Linked DNA regions of Drosophila melanogaster. The protein of the gene in region 2 interacts with the protein of the main gene of each other region in a pairwise test. Each region holds a gene or a part of one and is shown on either strand. Other genes may lie near its edges.

What was found.
Region 1: the proteins of Golgin84 (region 2) and p130CAS interact in a two-hybrid assay, tested with the Drosophila melanogaster proteins (one large-scale study listed by BioGRID).
Region 3: the proteins of Golgin84 (region 2) and CG14408 interact in a two-hybrid assay, tested with the Drosophila melanogaster proteins (one large-scale study listed by BioGRID).

The regions. Positions count from the first base shown.
Region 1 is NT_037436.4:150,080-157,185, reverse strand, and holds the start of p130CAS (p130CAS), read right to left. Parts: upstream 4,303-7,106; 5' UTR 4,116-4,302; coding exon 3,882-4,115; intron 1-3,881. Other genes in the region: Dic61B (dynein intermediate chain at 61B), read left to right, coding at 4,789-4,845, 4,914-5,063, 5,117-5,338, 5,396-6,837, 6,890-7,102.
Region 2 is NT_033777.3:24,354,240-24,361,020, forward strand, and holds Golgin84 (Golgin-84), read right to left. Parts: upstream 3,700-6,781; 5' UTR 3,638-3,699; coding exon 2,302-3,637; intron 2,247-2,301; coding exon 2,032-2,246; 3' UTR 1,831-2,031; downstream 1-1,830. Other genes in the region: CG6454 (uncharacterized protein), read left to right, coding at 1-500, 554-641, 699-1,085, 1,142-1,414, 1,477-1,539; CG18528 (uncharacterized protein), read right to left, coding at 3,972-4,958, 5,015-5,320, 5,639-5,827; CG5762 (uncharacterized protein), read right to left, coding at 6,652-6,781. UniProt on the Drosophila melanogaster protein: May be involved in maintaining Golgi structure and in intra-Golgi transport.
Region 3 is NC_004354.4:14,825,065-14,835,016, forward strand, and holds CG14408 (uncharacterized protein), read right to left. Parts: upstream 6,970-9,952; 5' UTR 6,719-6,969; coding exon 6,677-6,718; intron 6,603-6,676; coding exon 6,540-6,602; intron 6,447-6,539; coding exon 6,028-6,446; intron 5,444-6,027; coding exon 5,369-5,443; intron 5,284-5,368; coding exon 4,072-5,283; coding exon of another isoform or gene 3,990-4,071; exon of another isoform or gene 3,597-3,989; intron 2,968-3,596; coding exon 2,724-2,967; 3' UTR 1,803-2,723; downstream 1-1,802. Other genes in the region: CG14411 (uncharacterized protein), read left to right, coding at 8,190-9,952.

The sequences.
Region 1 (7,106 bases), on a different chromosome or scaffold from region 2:
CTTATCAGTCCGGTGAAAATCGAATTACTGAGCCACACTGGGGCCAATGGTTGTTGCCAGTTTCTGGTTTCGTAAGCTAACGACTTATTTGTCAGTCACAGAAAAAGAACTCTTGTCTTGCTAGGTCGATGATGGGGCAGCATCATCAGCGTGTAAATAAATCAATCAACAGGGCATCATCCCATGCTATTGGCGCTATTATCCATTAGCATGCTCCTCGTAGATATTTTCGGGAAATTCATTTCTGATTTCGGTACTACTTGGCTCTTAGTAAACAATCCGACAATCTAAATTTAGCGGATTGCACAATTTTCTGCGAATAATTCCACGGAAAAACAGCTAAAAACAAAGACTGCAGGAGGAATAGCTTGATGGCTTTATCTTATCGAGTGTGCTCGGCATGTTGACATTTTATTTGCAAATATCTGGGCAAGGAGGTAGGAAGGAGGGGAAAGCCAGCAAAATACGTCTAAAAGCGATAAGATTAGATAAGATTAAATTTTATTTCGGTTACCTCAACACTGGATACTTGTACTCAACTCCCCATTCGTTGCCTGACAACGATAGTTGCGTTGCGATTGTTGGTGTTGCGATTTTTTCGAAGAATATATCAATAAATGTTGTTAGGGCATTTATTAACTATATATTTACGAAAATACACATGTGCACATAGGTCATCAGATGAGAAGAGAATCAAATATGGAAGTTCTCAGATATCTCACTGATGCATTCTAAAAGAATTTATCATACATTTGACCTATGTTATAGAATTGTTGCACAAAAGATTAAAATTTAATTCCTTAGCTTTGAAGGCTAATCAAGTTTTTGAGCATAATTGAATGAAAATGATTTGAGAACGGTTTACCCCACTTCACCAGAACACTCGAAAAGTCTTAGCGCCCGAGCTGCTAAGTTCAATATGTCGAGACCAAATTAGTCTGATAAATTTACGAATTATTTCCGCAGTCTACTTCCCAGCGTTGCTTAATTCAAAACATTGTGTTTAGGTTTTTGGAAAATTTATGAATCTAACATATTTGGTGTGTTCTCTTTGTCCATCATCTCTCTCCAGCGACCCCTGCTCCTCCAGTTTATAAGGTCAAAGCGTGATCTAAGACAATGCAGTTACCAAACCTGAAGAAACGTCAAATTGAAATACGGGGCCAAACGTGGGCGACCCCGAAACCAAAAAGATTCCGACCAAATAGCCCAATTGATCTGCAATGAGATATAAACGACGCCATCTGATATATTTGGATTAATGGGTCAGCAATAAAGGCAGAATTTGGGATGTGAAAAATTCATAGTATTCATAGATCGATGATAATCTCAAAATGACGATGCTTTCGGTTTAAGACATACACATTAAGTTTATCGGAATTTACTCAATACGTATATACAGCCTATCCAAAAATACACATTTTCCCCACCTCTAGAAACTTCTCAATAAATCTCGGCTGCTCTGCATTTCCATAATTTAAGAGCAATTTATTGAATGCCGCAACGCTTTAGTCTGCCCAGGAAAAGCTGTCCCCAAACTGCATAAATTATTTTAAGTTCAGAGGAGTGGGAAACCGGGCGACTAGAATGAGTGGATATATCTCTTCGAGACACCAATAATCATATACATATTTGCCATGTGCAGCACGAATGTTGCAAAAGAAGATATATCCAGTGCTGGGACTGGAAAAATATTTACGTCAACAGGGTTAAGTGATTTTTGAAACCGCGTGTGATTTCATGATTTTTCTTGGACTTGCCAATTTAAGTCCTATAAAACTTAAGGAGTTATTTAATCAAAAACCATTTTCGCATGAAAACGTAGTTCTTAAAACTGAGGATGCACAATGTTATTTTTGTGTGCATATAACAGATAGTTTCGCTACCGTCACGTTACCAAAGAATATGTCTTAGCAGGGAAAAGAACGCGGTGAATAAAGCCACCGCTGGAAACACACAAATAATTATACTCATTCTCAGACAACAAATTGAGGAATTTTCAACACGTACACTTAAATTCTTCACTTTTCAGCGCACGTTTTTCCCGGCTTTCCACTTTCTTTATTGTTGTTTATTCTGTGTTGGTTATAGATACTGTCTTTTCTTTTTGTGCTGCTTTTAACCGCCGCTGGATTAACGATTGATGCATAATGGCAGAGCTCATAATTTAAATGCAAGAACAAAATATGTTGGCGCCTATGACGGCCACCAGTGAACTAACTGTGAACTACTGCGAACTCAAACTCTTCCTCTGTGCATTTCAATTCCCAGCCACGAATGAAGTGGTTCCGAGGCTCAATGACCGGTCCGCTTCACCAGCTAAAAGCACTTTGGCTCAACTTGCCAATTGTCATTGAATAAATTCATAAATCATTAGAGCGCCGCTTACAAAATCCGTGGTACACAATTCTCCAAAGTGCCATTTGTAATAATAAAATGTGCCAGCAAAAATTTTAAATTGTGTACAGGCAGCCACAGTAGCCAGATAAAAGACATCAAAACGTTGATTAGGGGCTTTTTGCAATTTAAATATATATTAATATATATCAATATCGTCATAAAATGATTTAGAATTACGAACTTCTGCTTTAACAGTTTTTTTTTGGGGCCATTTTCAATGCATCCCATTATCATGACAGATCAGATCAGAAGAATCTTCCCTTCCTTTGTACTTGACAAAACATTGTTCGCGGCTCGTCAGGACACCAAAGATTGATTAAACCCTCCAGATGTTTCCGAGCAACTTGCTCTTGGAGCACGGCACTCGGAAAAATTCAGCAAAAAGTGCTCTCAGTAACCAAACATGTTGCTTAAGGAAAAGAACGAAGCGTGGTTCGGTGGCGGGAAAAAGAACAGAGAACAACCACCCCGGTGAGGTTTAATTGCGGAAAGTTCATACCCCCGGCAAGGTCGATAGCAGTTCTCATATTGGCATTGAAAAATCGTATAGCAACTTTCGCGAGCAAATAAAATTGAAAGCATACATACATACATATATACAAGGGTAGAACTGACAGCGAAATCAAAAGATACATTTCTGAATCGGTAGCTGGTCAAGTACCACATCATTGAAGTTGGCAGCTTAACTTTAGCACCTCACTTAAGCATCCAATGCCTCCCCAGGCGAATTTGTTTCACATCATGGAGCGTCTGATGAATGACGCGACGCACAGAAGCCACCACCACCTGACGACCCTTACTCTCCACGGGAATCAGTCAGCCAGCAGCCTTAGCCAGATCCCTGACTTTTGCTTCGTCACGACTCGAGGTCCACCCTGCCCTATCTTCCTGCCGAATATGTTTACATAACATGGGCACATCGCCCGATTCTCTCTGCACGCATGCGGCCTCCATGAAGCTGCATTTAGGCCCGATGGTCCTGTAGCCATTTAGCCACTTAGCCGTCCCAGCTTGGTTAGCCGGCAGAAACAGTATTACAGCGTTAGTTTACGTTACGCACCCTGCGTATCCATAATCTGTATGTATCTGTGTAGCTTCGCTGAGTAAAATTCGTTTTTGCACTCGCGTCGAACCAGGCAATGGCGTGTGGAAGAGGGTCGTTCGATGAATTTGGCTGTAACAGATTTTACTTGCCGAAATGTAGTAAATGTAAAAAATAGTAAGAGTTTGTTACACCTGTACAGAGCACAAAAGTTTTTAACGGAACGATTTGAGATACCGAAAAACAATATGAATGATTTGAATTATCCATGGACAAATATATAAATCCAGTTTCCCCACCGATTAAGCGCACCTAGTTGGCAGTCAATATCAATTCCTGTCAAATAGGTTTACCTCCAATAAGCATCGCGATCACATCGCTTTACTTCGATCCACTTCCTCGGATACTATCCATTTAATTTATAACATTCTGGACGTACCTGCGCACTTTTTGCCCGATGCAGTGTGCCGCCCGTGATGGAGTTCGCCGTGGTCGTCTTGGCGTGCATTGCCACTGAATTTATAACGTACTGCGGCGGCTGTTGCGGTTCTTTCAGCTGTCGCTGCTGATGCTTGGCCAAAACCGATGAGGTTTGGGATTCGGGCAGAGTATGGTACGTTGCAACATTACTAATTGAGTTTTCTGGTACTCGGTTTTCACTTTGACACTCCATTAATTGTTAGCTCTTGTTAGGTTAGATGCCTTTTAGATTTTGATGCTGCCGCAAGTTTTTTTCATATCAGGAGCGTACCAAAAAATAAGCAGACCTACATTGAGAAATCGAATCTCTACACATTGGAATACATCCCAAACAAAAGCACGATTACGGACGCGAGTGTGAACCAGGTTTGCATGGCTGGCGACTCCGAATCTAACTAACTCAACCATATGCAACCTCAAAAGGCAGCCGGTCGTCCTTCGCCCACAGAGGGTGGCTTGGTTGACAACTTTATTTCGGTATTATCTAACGAGCAGGCGCAGGGGGAGCTCGGTAAAAAACGCTCACGGAAACGGAGAGTAAGAGAGTGCTCCTGTTAAGTAGCACAAAGCCCTTTCGTTACCGTACGGTAAAAATTCGTGGTATTCGGAGTTTTTAAACTTCAAATTTAATATTACACAATATTAATTTTTTAAATTGATTTCCAAGCATTTCAGTTTTTGATTACATTTTAAATCTTTAAAGAAAGATAAGTACACTATGAAACTAATGTTTGGTAAAAAAAAGTTATATCAGCAGTTAAAACATATGTATTACCAGAAACCAGTGCCCTCAAAATAATAAAATAACAAAATACTCATTAAAAATTTGGACGAAATCAAGAGGAGTACATAACAAAATACAAGTCATGTCCGCGTCAGTAAGAAATACAGTCACTAGCCAAGAAAATGGGAGTATCTTTAAAGTAAGTAATTACTGGAAGATCTAATTTGCACTTCTTACATAGAACACCGTTCCCCACGCGTCAAAAAGCGGTCCAGTAACTTAGACAACGAACTCAAAAAGAAGTCCGTGGTGGTTAATCAGACACAAGCCGAAGAGTCTAAGGCTAAGAAGAAAGATACTACGCACTATTACAGTGTGGAAACACTTGCCGACCTGCAGTATCGATCTCAGATAAAGGTGAACCCAAAGGACTTACAAACTCACCACCACTAATTGCAAACTCCCCTTAGGTTTTGGAAAAGATCTATGGCGAGGAGGTTGATATGACACCTAAGTCGATCCAAGATGACACCTATGTGGAGCAGTTCATGAAGTACAACCTAAATGTCATGCACCAAATGACTAACTTCACTACAATGGTAGCGAAGAGCACGACCAGATCCCGCACGCGGTCTAGTGTTCGGGCCGGAATAGGCGGCAATAAGCAGTCCATTGACGACCTGATGAACGGGGTAAGTTTATATAAACTTTTTTGTATCATCCCAGCGGGAATCGTCATTCTCCACTAGATACTTTATGAAACTATTAACTGGGAACCGTACAGCACTGTTGAGGCTCTCGAAGAGGCGTACGAGCCAAAGCCGTATACCAAGTCCTTTTTAAAGATCACCTTACGCAAGTCTGACTTCTTCGAAATTCACAGCCAGACGCAGACGACGGTGGCCAAGGGATCGCCCGAGGGCGACGATGCGGAGCGAGACAACCGAAACTACGAGTATCTGACAATAGGGAAAGGCAAAATTCGCCGGCGCTCAGACAATGACGCTCAGACAGATACTCTGCTCTTCACCACTCGGGCAGTCAACACCATCCTCATAACCAAGGCCACCGTCAGCTCTTACGTTTCCAACTTTGAGATGTACGACACGCTGAACAATATCACCAAGGAGTTCGCAACAGCCACTATGAGTTCGGTAAAGGACCTGACCTCGGCTCTAGCGCAGACGGAGGATGCGGATACCTTTGAGGACGACGAGGCCGTTGCCGAAAAAGACAAGGTCAGCAGCCAGATAGAGCGCCTGTTCCGGAGCCCCGAGTTTCGCAACGCCATCATGTACATGGGCCGCACGCTCTCGAGCAACACAAACGAGGCGGGGTTACGACGCTTCCGTAACTTTGACCAGGTGGAACGCTGGAACGCGGAGGCCGAGTACGTCTACTCGATGAACTTGCTCTTTCGGCTGGTACCGGAGCCCAGCAAAGACGAGCGCAAGGCCGTAAGCGACATTGATTTCTGCCGCAGCAATGGTGACATCCTGGCTGTAGCCTACGGACTGTACTCATTTTCCTCACAGCACGTACCGACCTCCGGCAGCGTTTTCCTGTGGAGCATTAAAAATCCAGGCGAGCCGGAGCGCGCATACTACTACGATGTGCCAGTAACGGCAATAAACTTCTCGCCATTCTTGCCATCCTTGCTCGCCATTGGTCTGTACGACGGCAGCGTGGAAGTGCGAGATGTGAGCAGTTTGCAGGACACACCCGTTGCGGTCTCGCAGCGCAGCACTTCGCCAGGCTCCTCGCCGGTGGTTGCCATCCGCTGGATCAAACAAGTTTCAGACGACGATCATGAAACAGACATCGATCCATTCCTGAGCCTCTCCCAGGATGGCTCGGTCACCCGCTTCCGGATTATCAAAAGTCCCTTCCTGCTTGGTTTTACCCAAATGATTCTGGAGCGAGTCGAGGGGCATCCTGAGGGCATTTTCGTTCACCCATCGTCGCGTATCCCCTGCGAGTCTAACCGCCACCCGCAAGGCTTAAGCATCACTACACATCCTCTGCACAAGGACATTTACTACGTGCTGACAGATGAGGGCTGCATCCACAAGTGCTCAATCAATTATCAGCATCAGTACTTGGAAGTCCTGCGTTGTCACGACGGGGGTGTCACCGTAATGGAGTTCTCGCCTTGGTCTCCCAAACTCTTCCTCACCTGCGGCAACGATTGGTAGGAAGTGGCCCTCTATCAAGGGTAGCTAAAGATAGTATCTATTCTGCAGGTTCGTACGCATTTGGGTCGATGGCATCACGCGACCTCTTCTCGAACTGCTAGACGAGATGACCCCAGTGCATTGGGCCAAGTGGAGCCCCACCCACTCTACGATTATTGTGACGGTGAACCGGGAAACCGCTAACGTCTGGGACTTTCGCCGAAATTTGCTAAGACCCATGTCCAAGCACAAGATGGACTCTTCTTTTAATACTGTGGCCAGGTAA
Region 2 (6,781 bases):
ACGGCTCTATTTCTCACAGCTTTACCGGTGCCGCAGGTACCAAAGATCGTGGCAGGCAACTCGTGGACCGACAAGCAAAAGCTAAATGAGTTGCAGAAGAAATTACAAGAAACGTTTGAACGGAACCAGGAGATCTATCAGCTGAAAAGCTTGGACCCGGATTTGGCAGCCAATGTCGGAGGAGTACCTTCCACAGGAGCCTCTGGCGATAAACAATCAGATACAGACGACTCTGATGAAGAGGAGATGAACGAGATCGATCTGAACTGTGGCAACAAGGAGTTGTGTGTCCTGGAAGTGGACGATATCGAAGACTTGGAAATCATATCGCTGTTAATGGAGCCATATCCGCCGGAGGGCTTCCATGTGGTAAATACGCAGCAGGTGCCGGGCATGCTGGAAATGGATACGGTTAAGAATCTGCAGATGTTCACACAAGTGTGGCGCGCCCGACTCGAGGTGGGCCAAAGTGTAAACGGCTTCCCTAAACACTTTCAGAGGTAGGTCTAAACTTCATACTGGGATCAGCACATAAAAACATTTGCCTTCCCAGACTGTTGCAGACCATATACTTCAAGCTACGCACTATGATACCCTGTGCTATCTGCGATCTTCGCTTCCGACTAGATCTGCCAGAGACGGTAAGGAAAATGCTAGGACTTTGATCAAGAATGATTAAATTACTTCGTTCTCTGCAGGATCAAATTCAATTGCTAGTCACTGGCATGGCCATGGGCCTAAGCGATGCCAACAGAATGAAGTACCGCGGACGTGGACGCCCGGCTCAGCAGCAGCAGGCACCTCAACAGCAGAACGGATATCATGATGGCACGGTGCACGCCACTCAATCTCAGCCAGAGTTAAACGGAAAACGAATGCTGCAAGAGGAGGATTACATATTTCCGCTGGACGAGGATCAGATGGTGGACACACCCACGCCAACCAGCACCGCTATTCCGCCATTCGGAATGAGCTCATTCAAAATGCGAAAAACTTCACCATCACGTCTTAACAATCTCGTTTCGGGATTGCCTTCAACCGGAGTTAAGCCATTGAACGTTGGATCTGTTCAACGTAGCCGTTATGTAAGAACATTAAATATTAATGATGTCTTTATATTAATATTATATTTCCTTGACAGTTTCCGCTGCGAGATCGTTATGGAGTGGATGTGACGCCACTAAGTTTCATACCTGGTGGTCGTATAGATAAATATTTGGGCAACCTAAACTTTTTCTTTATTCGGGAGAGCACGTCGATCCGGGAAAATGGTGGCATCAGCGGATTTGTCCATGGCTTCATTACCGAACTGTTGGCTGTGGTGAGAGCACACATCGCTTCGCTGGGCGGAAATGCCATGGTCTCTTTTTACATCACCGAACTTATGTTGTTCGATAATCAGCACAAGAATCAGGTAAGGCAAACACAATGATCTACTTACCTTAAAGTTTTTATACTGAAATCTTGTATTCTTAGGGCCAGTGCCTGATTAGCATCGGAGGCGATGCTGTCTATGTGAGCTACCATGCCGATGACTGATATAAAAACTTGCGGGGCATATAGCGCATGTTTTACGCGAATCGTCCCAAAAGCGTATACTCTCTATTTTCTTCCGCTTAGCTAGAACTATCAGCTCTGCCCAGCAACTGGAGTTAAACTGAAGTTAAACTAATTCACGTTTACTTAACAATTTTACAGCATCTGTAGATGGATTCTTTATGCAATATTTGAACTGTGAGGAATCGTTCTAATCCTAACTTAGTAGTGCTAATTTTTTCGGTCTTGTTACTTGTTTGCTGGATGTTTTTAGCGTTAAATCAATTGCAATTTCTGTACATAGTTGATGTTTATTGAATATTGAATTTAGAACGAGTGCGAGACACAAGTATAATATCGATATATACAATTGTTGCAACCACAAACATGACACATATACTCGTACCACTAGATATCCAATTTTGGCGCGTAAAATACAATACATACAATATTATGGAAATACAACAATTGCTCAACTAAATGTATTTGATTCGATTAGTTTGGTGTAGTGGAGAGCAGCACAAACATGACCCACAGATGTAGTAGGGCCACGTAGACGATCACAGAGACCCGCATCATGGGATAGCGACGCAGAAACGTTCCCACCCGAATACCCATGGAGTCCGCCTGGCGAAGGGCTCGCTTGAAGCGTCGTGCCACACGATTATCGAATGGACTTGGATGCATGAGAAGCGGGAATTGTGCTTTGACTAGGTAGAACTCATATTTATGTAATTTCTGGTACTCGCAGAATGTTAGACTTACCATCATCTGTGCTGTTGAGCATAGTATGGCGGGAGCTGCCCCTTTGGCTCTCCATTTCCACCAAGTGCATGTTTTGCTGTAGCTGCGTCTGTGCCTTTTCGTGCTGTAGTCGCAGGGCATTTCTCTCACTCGTAACTCTTTCCAGAAGACTTTGACGTTCGACCAGTGATTGGGTTAAAGCCTTTAGCCGAGTCTCGTAATCGCTCTTGGCTCCCGTGTTGGCTTCCTCGCTCAATCGCTGACGCATCTGCTGAAGCTGCTGCTCCCGCTCCTGGAGTCGAGTGGCGGCAGCAGCCATTTGGTTACTAAGTTGCTGCCGCAGTGAGGCCAGTTCCTGCGTGAGCACTCGCTGATCGGATTCGGAGGTCACACTGTGTTCCCTTGCCTGTCGCAACTCCTTTGCTAGTGTTTCCTCGCGTTGGCGGGCAGAGCTTAGTTCCACCTGTCGTTGTCTTTCCTGGGAAACGTAATCGTCCAGCTGCAAGCGCGCCTTTTGCAGTTCCTCGTTGGCATGCTCTAGTTCTTGCTTAAGTGACTCGTGTTCAATTTGCAGAAAACGCGTTTCACTGTCCTTGGACACCAGGTTTGGATCTGCGCCCTCCTCCGTGGGCTTCGCCTTCAACTCTGCGATGAGGGAATCCTTTGCTTGCAGAGCTCGCTGAGCCTTGATACGGTATTCCTGAAGCTCCTGGCGCTGCTGCTCCGTTTCCTTTGTTTGCATTTGCAATTTGTGAGCGGCGCTTATGTATTCCTGCTGCAACTTGGCCAGATTGGTTTCCAGTTCGGAGATGGAGTGCACATACGCCATGTTAGCTGCCTGGGCCTCATTGTAGTCATGAACCGCCTTGTCCCGCTCTTCGGACAGACTTTTAACCAGAGCTTCCAGCACCTGGGTGTGTTGATGCAGATCAAACTTTTCGGTTTCGTTATTAAGATCTTCCAAGCGCAGACGCAGTTCATCTCTTTCGGCCGTGATTTCATTCAGGGCGATCTTGAAGGCAGCCAATTCATTTGTGTCCATTGAGTTGGCGGATATGTCGGGACTGTTGGAGAAACTGGCCGACGTGGTCATCTTTTGGCGCATGTCCTTAGTGACCACGGAGACCCCGCCATCGCTTTTTACACTTGATGAGCTATTGGCCCCCGAGCGCCGCACTGGCGACAGAGTGGACTTCAGGGATGTGGACAGTGATTGGGTGCTGCTCGTCATGCTCCTACGCATGGGATCCGCTGAACCTGTGGCGTTCTCTGTCTGCAGGGCCGTTGCCGCATTTTGGTCCAGCTTGTTCAAAATGTTTTCGGCCTTGTCCGCCAGTCCTGTGATCCAGGATGACATATTTTTCTAAGAAAAACAAATCTCTTCGAGTAAAACACGTAAACAATATCACACTGTGTGCCCATATCGCTATCGACTGCGGAATGGTCAACTCCAAAGTTAAGGTCACTCTAAAAGTAACGTAATTTTGAAAAACCTTTTTTCTGATCAAAAAAATATTTATATGAAAATGTAAGGATTGGTTTTAGAAATAAATGTAATTCCAATCTTTCTTATCCGTGCAGAAATGTTAATTTATTATGCTTATCAAAACTCTAGGGTACAAATGAATATTTTATTCAATACTCAACATGGGCAGTGTAATCTTCGCAACTCACAACTATAAACTATCTCTTCACTTTCCAATGCAAAAGTCCTTGAAGACCACGTCGAGTATATCTTCGCAGCTGATGTGTCCGGTGATGCGTTCGATGCAGCGCACGGAGTTGCGCAGCTTGGAGGCGGCTATGGCCATGTCCGGGTAAACGTCGGGTCTGTAATCTCGTAGAAAAATATCAATGTTCTCAATGCAGCGCTCCAGTTGCTGACGGTAGCGTGTGTTTGTGATGCGTGGATTCTCCGCCCGCGGTTCTCCGCACAGTTCTTGCAGCTGCTTCTCCAGTGATCCCAGAAACACGGGCATCTTATCGGGCTTATGGCATGATATGGCTAACACGTTGGACAGCTTGTCCAGCTGCTGATGCTCCTCATCCGTCAAAGTGTCGGTTTTATTGGCCACCAATTGCAGACGTTTCCCTGAGCACATGTCCAGAGGTATATCCAACTCGCCCAGATAGCTATCTACAAACGGAGCAACTGCGTCGTCGTGCGTCAGCTGTGCAATGTTCTTGGCTTCTGCTAGGAGCAATATCAAATCAGATTGGACTAGACAATTCTTGGCTCTCTGCATTCCCTCCTGCTCTATACTATCCGTAGTATATCGGCGTAATCCGGCTGTGTCGGAAAATACCACCGGGTATCCTCCGAAATTGTGCATTGTTTCTATAATATCCCTTGTGGTGCCCGCCTGATCCGTCACTATGGACACGGATCGCTGGCAGAGGAGATTGAGCAGACTACTCTTGCCAACATTGGGTGCTCCAATGATCACAGTGCGGACTCCGTCGCGGAGGAGCTCTCCCTGCCGCTGGTCACTCAAATGCTCGCGAATCTCACGCTTTACCGCCTTTAGTTCTTTGCCGAGTTGCAGGATGATGCCGCCTTCGATTTGCTCCTCTTCGGCGAAGTCTATGTAGGCCTCCAAATGGGCAGCACAGCGAATAAGTCGACGGCGCCAGTTGTCGTAGAGTCGAGCCAGTGCTCCAGTGCTTTGTAGCAGTGCCTGGAGAAAGAAGAGACTTGAAACAAAATTTATGAGACCCTAAGTCCACTGTCTACCTGCTTTCTTTGCGCCTCCGTTTCAGCATGGATAAGATCGGCCAATCCCTCCACCTCTGTCAAATCCAGTTTGCCACCAAAGAACGCTCTCTTTGTGAACTCTCCCGGCTCCGCCGGCCGCAATCCATCCACTTTTCCCAGAGCATCCAACATGGCCGCAATGACTGCCAGGGACCCGTGTACCTGAAACTCGCAGGAATCCTCGCCAGTGAAAGAAGCCGGTCCCGGAAACCAAAGTAAGAGCCCACGGTCAATCATCTCTTTGCTGGCGGGATGGTAGAAGGATTTCAGATACGCCTGACGAGCCTATATGGAAAAGTATTTATAAAGGGAACTATAAGTTTCACTATCATAGAGGTCTCTCGTCTTAAAACCTGGCAGCTTGCCAATTATAACAAATTAAGCAGTTCACGAAATTATTCAATTTATTTAGTCAATTATATGTAAGTTAGGAGAAATTTGTTTATTTTTATACAGGATACATCTCCCAAAATGTATATAAATAAGCAACAGGTCTTTTCATTTGCATACATATATTTTGGATACTAGAAAACAAAACTATACACTGCACAGGTCACGACCCCTCATATATGGAATAATAAACGTTTATATCGATTGACTTGCCTTTGGCTCGTATTCTTTGTTTGCAACAATTGCTCGGAGGGCCTTCTTTGTTTGCGGCCCGGAGACACGGATCACGGACACACCGCACTTGACATGACCGGAACTGAGGCTGTAGATGGTGCATCCGCTGCTGGCAAAGCGCCGGAAACTGCCCAAGAAGCTCTGGGACGCGTTTCTGAGAAGCGCCATCGCCGAAAAACAATTAAATCCCAACCGCCGAATAATAAACAATTGAACGTGATATTAAGTGTGACCGCGGAATGGCCGTTACAAAAATATATCATTCCACTCGGAGATATATACTAAAGAATTGTGCGTAAACAATTATGGAGCGGTGGTAAGCTTGGGTAAATCTCCAGTCCCGACACAAACCATTTTGACCGAAATATGGGATTTGAAACATGGGAACGTTTTTTATTTATTTCTTTGTTATTTGGATAGAAAGAATTCACTTTTATTCAATTAGACAGAAGTAGTTTTTGTAATTTTTTGTCAAATAATTATCAGATTTTTTGTCAAAAGCGTTGGAAAATATCGAATGACATATCTCGATGAACTTGTAATTAAGCCCTTAATTGGTTGGAGTTCAAATTTGGTAATTTTATTTTTTTGACGTTTTTTGAAAAAAATAGACGTTGTTACCCCTTATAAAAAATGTGAAAATAGAAAAAAAAAAATTTTTTTTTTTATTTCACCAAAAGTTGATAAAAATAATAAGCATTGGTAAAAAGCTGTAAGAAATAGTTCTTATTAAGTCTCTGAGACCAATTTTAGCCAAGCTGTGATGAACTTCTCAAATTCCCTCTCCGCTTTTGACGAAGACAAATACACTTAAATATTTTATTAGTAACAAATATCACATCTAGTGCAGATGTGTTACATTTTTACAGTTACATTTTCGGATTTGGACGCTTTAAAATCTGATGCCTTCGACACTATCAATTTGATCAGGCTACAAGAATGAGCGATTGCTAGAATTTCTGATGCGAATACAACTGTCAAATATAAACGGTTTAGAATAAGAACTGACGTTTTCGGGTGCTGTAGGCGTTTGACAACCGGAGAGATACAATGGGTGGTGGACAGCTATCGGTGGCACGAGCAAATTTGTTGCGTTGGATCATCGCCGCATTGGTGTCCCAT
Region 3 (9,952 bases), on a different chromosome or scaffold from region 2:
AGCCCAAGCCTAAGCCCACTCCCACACACTCTCTCTCTCTCTCTCTCCCTTGGTTATTGCTTTTCTTTGCTCTCTCTCTTCGCGTGCCCTTTTTGATTATCTAATCCTTGGGGCAGGTGACATTTTGCAACTTTTGGGGAAGCGGAAGTTGTTGCCGTTTTCTTGTGCTGCCGCCGCTGCCAATACCGTTATCGATTTTTTGCGGCAGCTTGTTGTTGTTGTTGTTGCCGCTGCTGCCGCCGCCGTAAGCCGAAAAAAGGCGTGTGTGTGGCAAAGAGACAGAGGAACGTGGAGAAGAGAGGGAAAAGCCAGTGGCAAAGCGCATCCATGGACGGCACACACACACACACACACACACACACGCATTGGCATGATGAGAAGAGTGGGGGAGTGTGGAAAACGGGGAGAGAGGAGAGCCGAAAAGGCCAAAGCGAAACGAGTTAAGACGCAAGACAATGCAGATAAAAGCGGCAACAACGACAACAACAAACACGGCCAAGAACGGCAACAACAACCACAACAGCAGAAGGCGTCGCGGTGCGCTCTTCTTCTTGCTCTCCTTCTTTATCATCTGCTGGCAATGCATTCGTGTTTTTTGTTGTTTTTTGGGTTTTCGGTTTTTCTTGTTGGTTTTCTTTTATTATTATTTTTTTTTTTTTTTTGGAAAACTTGAATCTTTACCAGCTGCGTTTGGAGTTTTCCTGCCACTTCTTAAATGCGCGCGCGCATTTCCCACGACAAAAAGAAAACAAACGACCAGCGAGACACACAAAGTGGCACTTTATAGAACGAAAAAAAAAGTAGAATGTGCAAATACACCAGCACCGAAAAAAAAAAAGAAGAACAACAGTTAAGATCGCCGCGTTATTTAACCGCTTTTCCTTCCACACAACTCACGACGCGATTTCTTCGGATTGTTTGGCTTGGTTTGTTTGGTTTGTTCGGTTTCTCTTCGGCTCCGCTCGCTTCGGATTTGGTCTGTTCTCAGCAAAGCGTTGCAGCCAAACTAAAGCGTCCGTCGGCGGTTCGTAGCGAACCACTGCGAACCGAGTGGCACGAAGCTGCACGAAGTTGCACGAAGCGTTCGTCGGCGTGCAGCGAAAGCACTATCGTAGAGATGGGGCGCCACTGCTTGCGATAGCCCAATCGATATATCGTATATCAGCTGGTGTGATTTTAAATCCTATTATCAGCGTTATTTACAATATATACCAATTTCAAATTGATAGATGGAGATCGAACGTTGTGGTTTTTAAAGTTCCTGATCTTAATGCGTACATGTTCACTTATATGCAACTTGTATGGCGAATAAAAGTTGAAATGCAAAAGCTTTCAAAAGTCTATCGCCATGTCTTACATATTATCAGCAATCAGCTGGTTTTCTAGGTACTGTGTTATTATAGATTACTTATTGATTTTGAATATAGTTTTTAATATTAAGTTAAAATATACACCAATTAATCAAAAATTTTAAATGGGATTTGAGTAAAAATTAATGGGCATAATCATAGAATAAGTTTTTTATTTGGTAGGAAATACTAAACTAGAAAATACCAAAAGGCTGAAGAATGGTGGTCAAATGAAATTTCTAAAATAGAAAACCGTTAAAAGGCAATGCTATATTATTTAATAACATAACACAAACTAGTCAATTTTAAAGTTGATTTTTTACGTATTATAACAAAGAATGAAACTAAAGCTTTATAGTTACCAATTAAAAATGGCAGCCCCATTTTATTCACTAACTGCCCAGTTTTCGAAATGAAACATTCAGTTTTGTATAATACACTTCATATAATTTTATGCAGGTATTTATATATGCAATTATTTAACACTCAGTGGCGCAAACAGAAGAAAACCGAAGAATTCGCGGACAATTTGCAAGTCGCTTGTATTTCAAATGTCTCCATAAAGTAATATTGCTGATTCGGCTTTTGGTGCGAATTGTCAACGCACTCCTCGTTTTCTTTCAGTGCACACCACATTTACCATTATTTGTACACTCTTATGTATTTTTGTGGGTTTCTTGTAAATCATTTTGCCGAATATTTAGCTCGTACACACTAAAACTATTAAACTGATTTCGTTTTTGTTGACTAGCATTTAGTTATTTGCTTTTTGTAAACAGCATAAAATGTAACTTTCTTAATTATGTATATGCCACTACATAAACTAAATTATTGCACATCATTTATTTAGGATTAGAACATAGTTTGCCACACGTGCCTGAGTGCGTTGGTGTGGATTTAAAAAGATTCCTGCTGGCTCATCCATCATCTCGCATCCATTTCGATCCACCTGGGATTGATGTCTTTTTGTATTTGAATGATATGTACGCTACGCTTTTGACTAATTGGATTTTTTGGATCGATCGTAAGTATGCCCTAATACTCATAGAGTAAAATTTTGCCATAATTTTCATATTTGTATGCGTGCAGTGATGGGGGAAGTTGTGTCAGCGGCCAAACAAGAGTTTTCTAAATTGAAGAAAGGTACTTTCGAAAATTCCGTTACAAAAATGCTCAAAAATAGTGCATAGTTTTGAAACTTTAAATACTTCTTGTGGCACTTTCGATCATTATCTATGAACTATATTGCAATTATTCATTTAAAAGTGACTTTTCCCATCACCGCATTCATGTGTGTGTGTGTGTGTGTGTGTGATGGTGAGGCGGTTTTGGTGTTGATTTTTTTTTCTAAGTGTAGGGTATTTCGCTGTCGGCTCAAAACAGCAAGGCTCCAACCACGTTTAGTGCCTGGTGGTGTTGCTTTTGTTGTTGCTTCTGCTGCTGATTCTGTTGTTGTTGTTGCTGTTGCTGTTGATGTTGGTGTGTGTGGTACATGCTTGTGGTTGTTGTTGGCGATTTGAGTTCCTCCACTATAATGGCACCATTCTCATCCACCAAGTGATTTAATAGTAAATTCTCAACCTGCTCATCGGACAGTAACTCTTTTGGCTCTGAAGATCTGCAAAGTTAGTTAGTTTTGTATGTAATAGCTTTGCATAGTTAAAACTGAACGAAAAACACAGAACTGAGATTCGATAGATAGATAATTGGGTACACATATGATATACAGTGGGTGATAGGACAGGTAAGCAATTACAACACTTAAACAAAAAAAAGTCGATGTTATCCGACTTACAGATAACCGGTACTCCAAGTTCTACAAGTTCATTTAAAAACAATGAAGAAAATAATACAAATTGGCAAATAATACACTTTGTGTATACCTTTATATACTTATGATCCATTATAGTATAATATACTTCACAGACTTGGAAAACTAATTTCAAAAGACTCTTATTAAAAAGTTTTCAATTGAAATAATAAGATTTAAGTTCATGGGCAGATCCCCTAAGATAACTTTCAAATTCAACTAAACTCAAAAGTGGTAATTTTGAAAACTAGAGTACAGGCTATTCAACGTAGGTACATTCAATTAGACAGGGATAGCGATATGAAGATGACTCGGCTTAGAGGGAGAAGGCAATAGCGATTCAAAGCGATTAATGAGTGGGAAAAAGGTAACGTTTAGAAACAAAAACACAACAGATATTTCTCGATTTTGGTTTTTGCGTTTTGAGCAGTACATACAGAATTTGAGGTTAAAGCGAGTGTGCGTTCGTGCTTTTGTTGTTGTTGTTGTTGTTCTTGTTGTTGCTGTTGTTGTTGTAGTTGTTGCAGTTAGTTTTTTTTTGAAAGATATATTTTTGTGAGATTGAAAGTAGCAAAAGCAGAGACCAAATCAAAGCAGCCAATTCGTTCATATTAGTAATTAGTAAATTGAGTACTATTTTATAAATTTTGCAGTTGGTTGGTTGGTGGTTCATTTTTGTAGTTGGTTGGTTGGTTGGATTAGATGGGTGCAAAAATTGCGCTGATCATCGCTGTTTCGGTTCGGGTATACATATATTTTTTCGAAATTCAAATTCAAATTCAAATTCAAATTCGGTTTCGGAATCGAAATCCGATTTCTGAGTTCTGAGTTCAAATGAGCTTGGCAAGGCGGCTGTGCAGCGAGTTGAGCAGACTACGACCGCCACCCTTTGCCCCATTACCGTCTACTGACCTGCTGAAGAGGAAAAAATCACCGGCACCGCCGCCAGATCCTGAACCGGAACCTGCTGCACCGGTTGCACTGCCGGTTCCGCCGGATGCTCCGCCACCGCTCAGCGCCAGTGCGTCCGTTGTGCCGCCGAGCAGTGCATCACCTTCGGCTGCACAATCGCCGGACATCTCCGATTCGCTGTTGCGTCGCTCCAGGCTGCGTCCCACCTTCTGGAAGCCGTAGCTAAACACATCCTTCACCTTGTCGCCGGCATCGATTAGCAGATCGAGGCTCTGGCGACGTCCGCTGCCCTTGAAGCTATTCGAGCGGGACAACCACTGGCTGAGGCTCTGCTTGCGGCTCATCTGCTGGCCACCGCCGCTGGATGCACTGCTATCGTCCTGGAATATCGTCGTGCAGGTCACCTTGCGCTTGGGCTCATCGGACGACGAGGTCGAGTGCTGGGACTGGGCATCTGCATCGAGATGATTCCTGGCCAGGCCGAGACCCAAGCCGCCGGACATGCCGCCCGTGGAATCCAGGCCCTGCTGCTCGAGCAGCGACTGATTGGAGTAGCTGGAACTGGTGCTATCCGAATGCGATAGCCGGATCTCCGTCCACTGCTCAATGTCGTTGTCCGCCGGAGCACCGCCAGCCGAAGTTGAGACGGAAGCGGATCCCGATGCCAGAGATCCGCTGCCCGACTTCACCTCGTATGGAGCGTGCAGGCCCAGCGGTCCCAATCCGGCTTCCCCATCCGCCGCAGCACCTGTGCTGGCCGACTTGTGCATGCCACCGGCCAGTTTCTGCGGGAAGGTGAGCACCGCCTCGAAATCGGTTAGCAGGTGGGGGCACTCGTGGTGACCCAGACGCTCGGGCATGCGCAGGTACTCCTCCTCCTCCTCCTCCGCCTCCGCCTCCACGTGCTTCTGCTCCTCGGCGGCTGCCTTCGCCTCGAGATCCTGGCGATTGGCAGCAGTTCCGCAGGAGCTCCTCTCCAGACCCGCCGTCAACGTGTCCACGGCATCCACCTGACGCAGCATGGCCTCGTAGTTGAGCAGATTATTGCGCTGCTGTCGCTGACGGTGAATGTCCTCCGAAATCTGTTCCAGATTCTTAAGCGCCTCGTTGTACGTTAACTTCGCCGCACTGACCTTCGCCTCCAGCTCGTTGACGCGCGTCTTCTGGGCCTTCAGCAGTCCATTGTAGTTCGCCCGGGTCTCGTAGTATGGCCTATGGTATCGGGGAAGGATTCCAGCGGATTAGGTTAGTCGCAGTGCCTGCCTACATGTGGCCAAATCAAATCGGCGATACTCACGAACAGAGGGTACAATACAAAGCGTGCATAATGCTAAAATATCTCAACAAAAGTAAATTGCGCTTGAGCTGCAATCTAAAAGGAAGATAAAAGTTCGGAAGACAGGGCAGTCCACCGGAAAAAGAAAAAACAAAACAAAAAGGCATACAACAAATTAGAATTTAATAAACAAATATAAAACTTAAAAGTAAACCAAAAAACAAGTTTAATAAGAAAAGCGTAAGTTCGGCAAAAGACCGAAATTCGAAAATTTCTCAGGATTTCAGGTATATTTGCTTATAAGCATCGTGAGTTTTAAAAACTATGTCAACTTGCAGTTTGGTAAAAAAAAATATTAGCCTTAAGATCAAAACCTAATATTTCATCTAACTCTTACTGTTATTTTTCACAAAGTAATATATGATTTAAAAGATTGCAAATTCTCTGGAGTTTTCTTAATGCAAAATAAAAGAGATCATCTCAGAAATTTGAAATAGTTTTCTGCAACTTTCTGTTGAATATTTTGAAAGTAATGTTTCTAAATTCTTTATAACAAATTGATTCAAAATCGAATGGAGTTTCTGGGTCACCAGCATTCGACTTTCGGTGGAAAGAGGTTTCTGTGACCTGGTTCTTGGTTCTTAAGCAGTATTCCTTGAAGGGAACCCCATGAACTTTACCTGGATGCCCGAAGCGCTTGCTTAAGCTGACCCTGGAGCTTGCCGACCCGGTTATTGGCCACCTCGAGCTTCAGCTGGCACATCTTGAGGGCATTGCGGGTGTCGGTGACCTCCAGCTGGGACTGATTGACCTTGCTGGCGGCGTGGCTAAGCATCTCCTGGCAGGCGGTGTCCAGCGTCGACTTCTCGCCCAGACCCTGTTCGGCCAGGTAGACCATCTCCTTGGCGGCGGCATGAATGGACTTGGCCTTCTCGTGGTTGGCGGCGGCCAATTGCGTTTCCTTGGCCAACTGGGCGGCGTAGATGCGAGATTCGTAGTACGGCTTGGCGGCATCAATCGAGTTGCCCAGCTTGTGGGCGGCTGCCTTGATTCTCACCACACTTTCCGCCAGCAAACGCTTGAATTCGCACTTGGCCTCCTTTTTTTTTTGGTTTGTTTTGGGACAGAGATCGCAAGCAATAATGGTAAGTAACTGGGGTAACTGGGGAAAAATCAATACTCGCCCACTCACATCGAGCTCCACTTCGTATCGGTTGATGTTGTCCGTGGCGGAGTTCAGCTTCTCCAGCTCCACCTAAGCGGGCTCCCGAGGATTAGGTTGTTTGGCATATGTAGGTGTATGTATGTATGTGTGTAGGTGGTACCTACCTGGACCCTCGGATCCACGGGCGTGTTGCTCTCCGTTGACATGGTGCCTGGCTGATTTGTGGGGGAGGGGGATTGGGGTGGTCGATTCTCGGGTCTTGCCTGGATTTCACCGTGGAGTTGCCGTAATGGATGCAGTGCAGCAGGGCAGCGGGGCAGCGGGCTCGTTCAGTGGGTCAATTGCATCTGGGAATGCGATTCATTTTCCACGGCACATCGCGAATAGCAAAAGCAAAGCAAATCGAATCAATCGTGGAATGGAATCAAGCGAGCTTTTGCAGACACAATTATGACAACACGCTCCGGAGCTTTTGCGTTTGGCAAGCGCAAAAAGCTCTGGTCAGCTGCTTTTTACCGTTGCAAAGCGCGTAGAAACTATCGTTATCTTCTATTCCTAGGCAAATATCGATAAGTAAATAAAAAAAATTTCTCAGTTATTACGAATATATTATTACGAGATATCAAATAAAAACAAACAAATTTCTTTTATTCACTTGCGATTGGAACTCAGAATATGGGCGGTTCCCACTGTAATGCCATTATCTCAAAAACTGTGAATAATTATTCTATAAAATTTTCTGAAATGTCCTTAAAGAAATTACCTTTAAGGTAGTCTATTCAATTGCAATTCTTTTTAATTGCATATTTTATATACCTTCTTGAGTCCTATAAACTTAAGTCGTGGTAGATAGTAAGATTAATCATTTTTATTTTATTCGAATTCACCGCCAAACGAAAAACTAAATAAATAAAATAATGTAAAATTCTAAAGCAAATTAAAATTAAAAAGAACTGCCACACTTTTCACTTTCCATCGTTCCACGAGCAACGCTTAGTCATCGCCGTTTGCTTGACGCGCTCACGAAATACTGGAATCGACGGCGCCTGGTCACACAGCACCGATTGCACCTAGTGTCATGTGCGTGCATGTGTGTGCGTGTGTGTGTCAGTGTGTCGTATGAATTGTGGCGACCAAGTGCGCGAATAAAAATAAGTAAATAAATGCACATTGCGAGCGACGGTGCGTGTGTGCAGGCGCCAGATGGTGCACTTGGATGACCCCAACAACGAGTGACCCCGCTCGAAACGCATTCGAAGTTCGAAATCCGAAATACCAAAATCCAAAATCCAGAGACAACAGCCGCAGCAGCAGCAGCGGCAGCGGCAACAACAAAACGGCGATCGCTCGCACACACACGCACACACAGGTAGTAATCCGAACGGTAAGTTGCGTTCCAACTGATAAAAACTTATCACACCCCCCCCCCCCCCTCGAAAATAACGTGAATGGAAAAGATTCGATAATTCGAGTTTTGCTGCTCCACTTGTCACCTCATCTGTTTCCATTTGTCATATATTCATTTGCTCCAAATTCCGCTTTCTTTCGTTGCTTGCATGGCACACAGACAGCAGCGGAATAACGGTAAAGCTAGCGCCGACACCCACCCCCCCCCTCCCCGCCAGACAGGAAGTGGTGAATAATTGAATATTCCAACAACGTACCACCGACTAAATAATGGCCACGGGCGGCGGTGGCAGCGGCCACGGGGGAGCGGGATCCGCCGGAAATGCTGACCACCACAAGCGCAACACCTTCACCAGCTATGTGGCACCGCTACCCGGAGATTTGCGCGCCACAGCGGACACGAACGAATGGTGCCTGCCCAGCGATTTGAGGGACGTCCATCTGGCCAAGCCGCGACTGCTGCACGGCGAGCAGATAGTGGCATCGGCACCAGCCTACATGTACTCACCGATCGATCCGATGGACAGCAGCGGAGGCAGTGGCTCTACGCTCAGCGCCATATCATCTGCGTCCGGTACGCCAGCGGATCGTCATCACAAAGAGGCCACCTTCGGACTGTTGAGTGTCACCAATTTTAAGCTGGCCTTTGTGCCGCTGCATGAAAAGCGTAATCAAGCGATCACAGCGCCACTGATCGATCTATATCAGGAGAATACCTATTTGGGCCGCAATGAGATTACGCTAAACAACATCGATCATATCTATACCATTACCGAGCTGGGACGGGCGGCCAGTGCGCTGCAGGCGGCGCGAGGCATGGCCAGCCATGCGGGCATGAGCAGGCGCAAAAAACTGGAGCCCTTCAAGCAGCAGAACATCAGCGGTCGCATCGCCGCCCTGCATATCGTGTGCAAGAACTTTCGCCTGCTGAAATTCGCCTTCCAGCAGCAGGATTCGAAGATGTTTGGGGCCAGTGATCAGGGCAAACTGATTGCCTCGGCCCTGGTGCGTTTCGCTTATCCAATGCGGCATGATCTGAGCTTCGCCTATGCTCATCGAGAGCCATACTATTCGACACTGGGCGCATCCGGCACTAGTATGTATGCGACGAAAAACGACTGGGCCAGAGAGCTGATACGCTGCGGCGCCACCGAGTGGCAGGTGGTTAGCTGTGCCAGTGTCCAGCTGCTGCAGAATCCCCTCCAGGCGGGCAAGTACACTGTGCCGCCGCATTTTGTCATACCGAAGAGCTGCAGCGTGGATCGATTCCTGGATCTGTCGCGCGCCTTCTGCGATTCACGAGCTGCCTTCTGGGTGTATAGCTATGGGAGCAGCGCGGCACTGGTCAGATTAGCTGAACTGCAGCCGGCTGCGCAGCAGGACACCAAATCGGAGAATGTGATGCTGGAGCTGGTGCGCAAATGTGATGCGGGGCGACAGCTGAAGCTCCTACAGCTGACGGATCGCCTGCCGAGCATTCAGGATGTGCTGCGCGCCTATCAGAAGCTGAGGCGCCTATGCACGCCGGAAACGCCGGAGAAGTTTATGCTGCAGGATGACAAGTACCTGGGACTACTCGAAAAGACCAACTGGCTGTTCTATGTGTCGTTGTGCCTACGCTATGCTAGTGAAGCGTCTGCCACGCTGCGCAGCGGCGTTACCTGTGTCCTCCAGGAGTCGAATGGCCGTGATCTCTGCTGTGTGATTAGCAGTCTGGCGCAGCTATTGCTCGATCCGCATTTCCGTACTATCGATGGCTTCCAATCGCTGGTGCAGAAGGAGTGGGTGGCCCTGGAGCATCCGTTTCAGCGACGCCTGGGTCATGTCTATCCTGCCCAGCCGGCCGGCGGTAATGCCGAACTATTCGACAGCGAACAGAGTCCAGTGTTTCTGCTCTTCCTCGATTGCGTGTGGCAGCTGTTGCAGCAGTTCCCCGACGAGTTCGAGTTCACGCAGACATACCTGACCACGCTGTGGGACTCGTGCTTCATGCCCATCTTCGATACCTTCCAGTTCGATACGCAGGCCCAGCG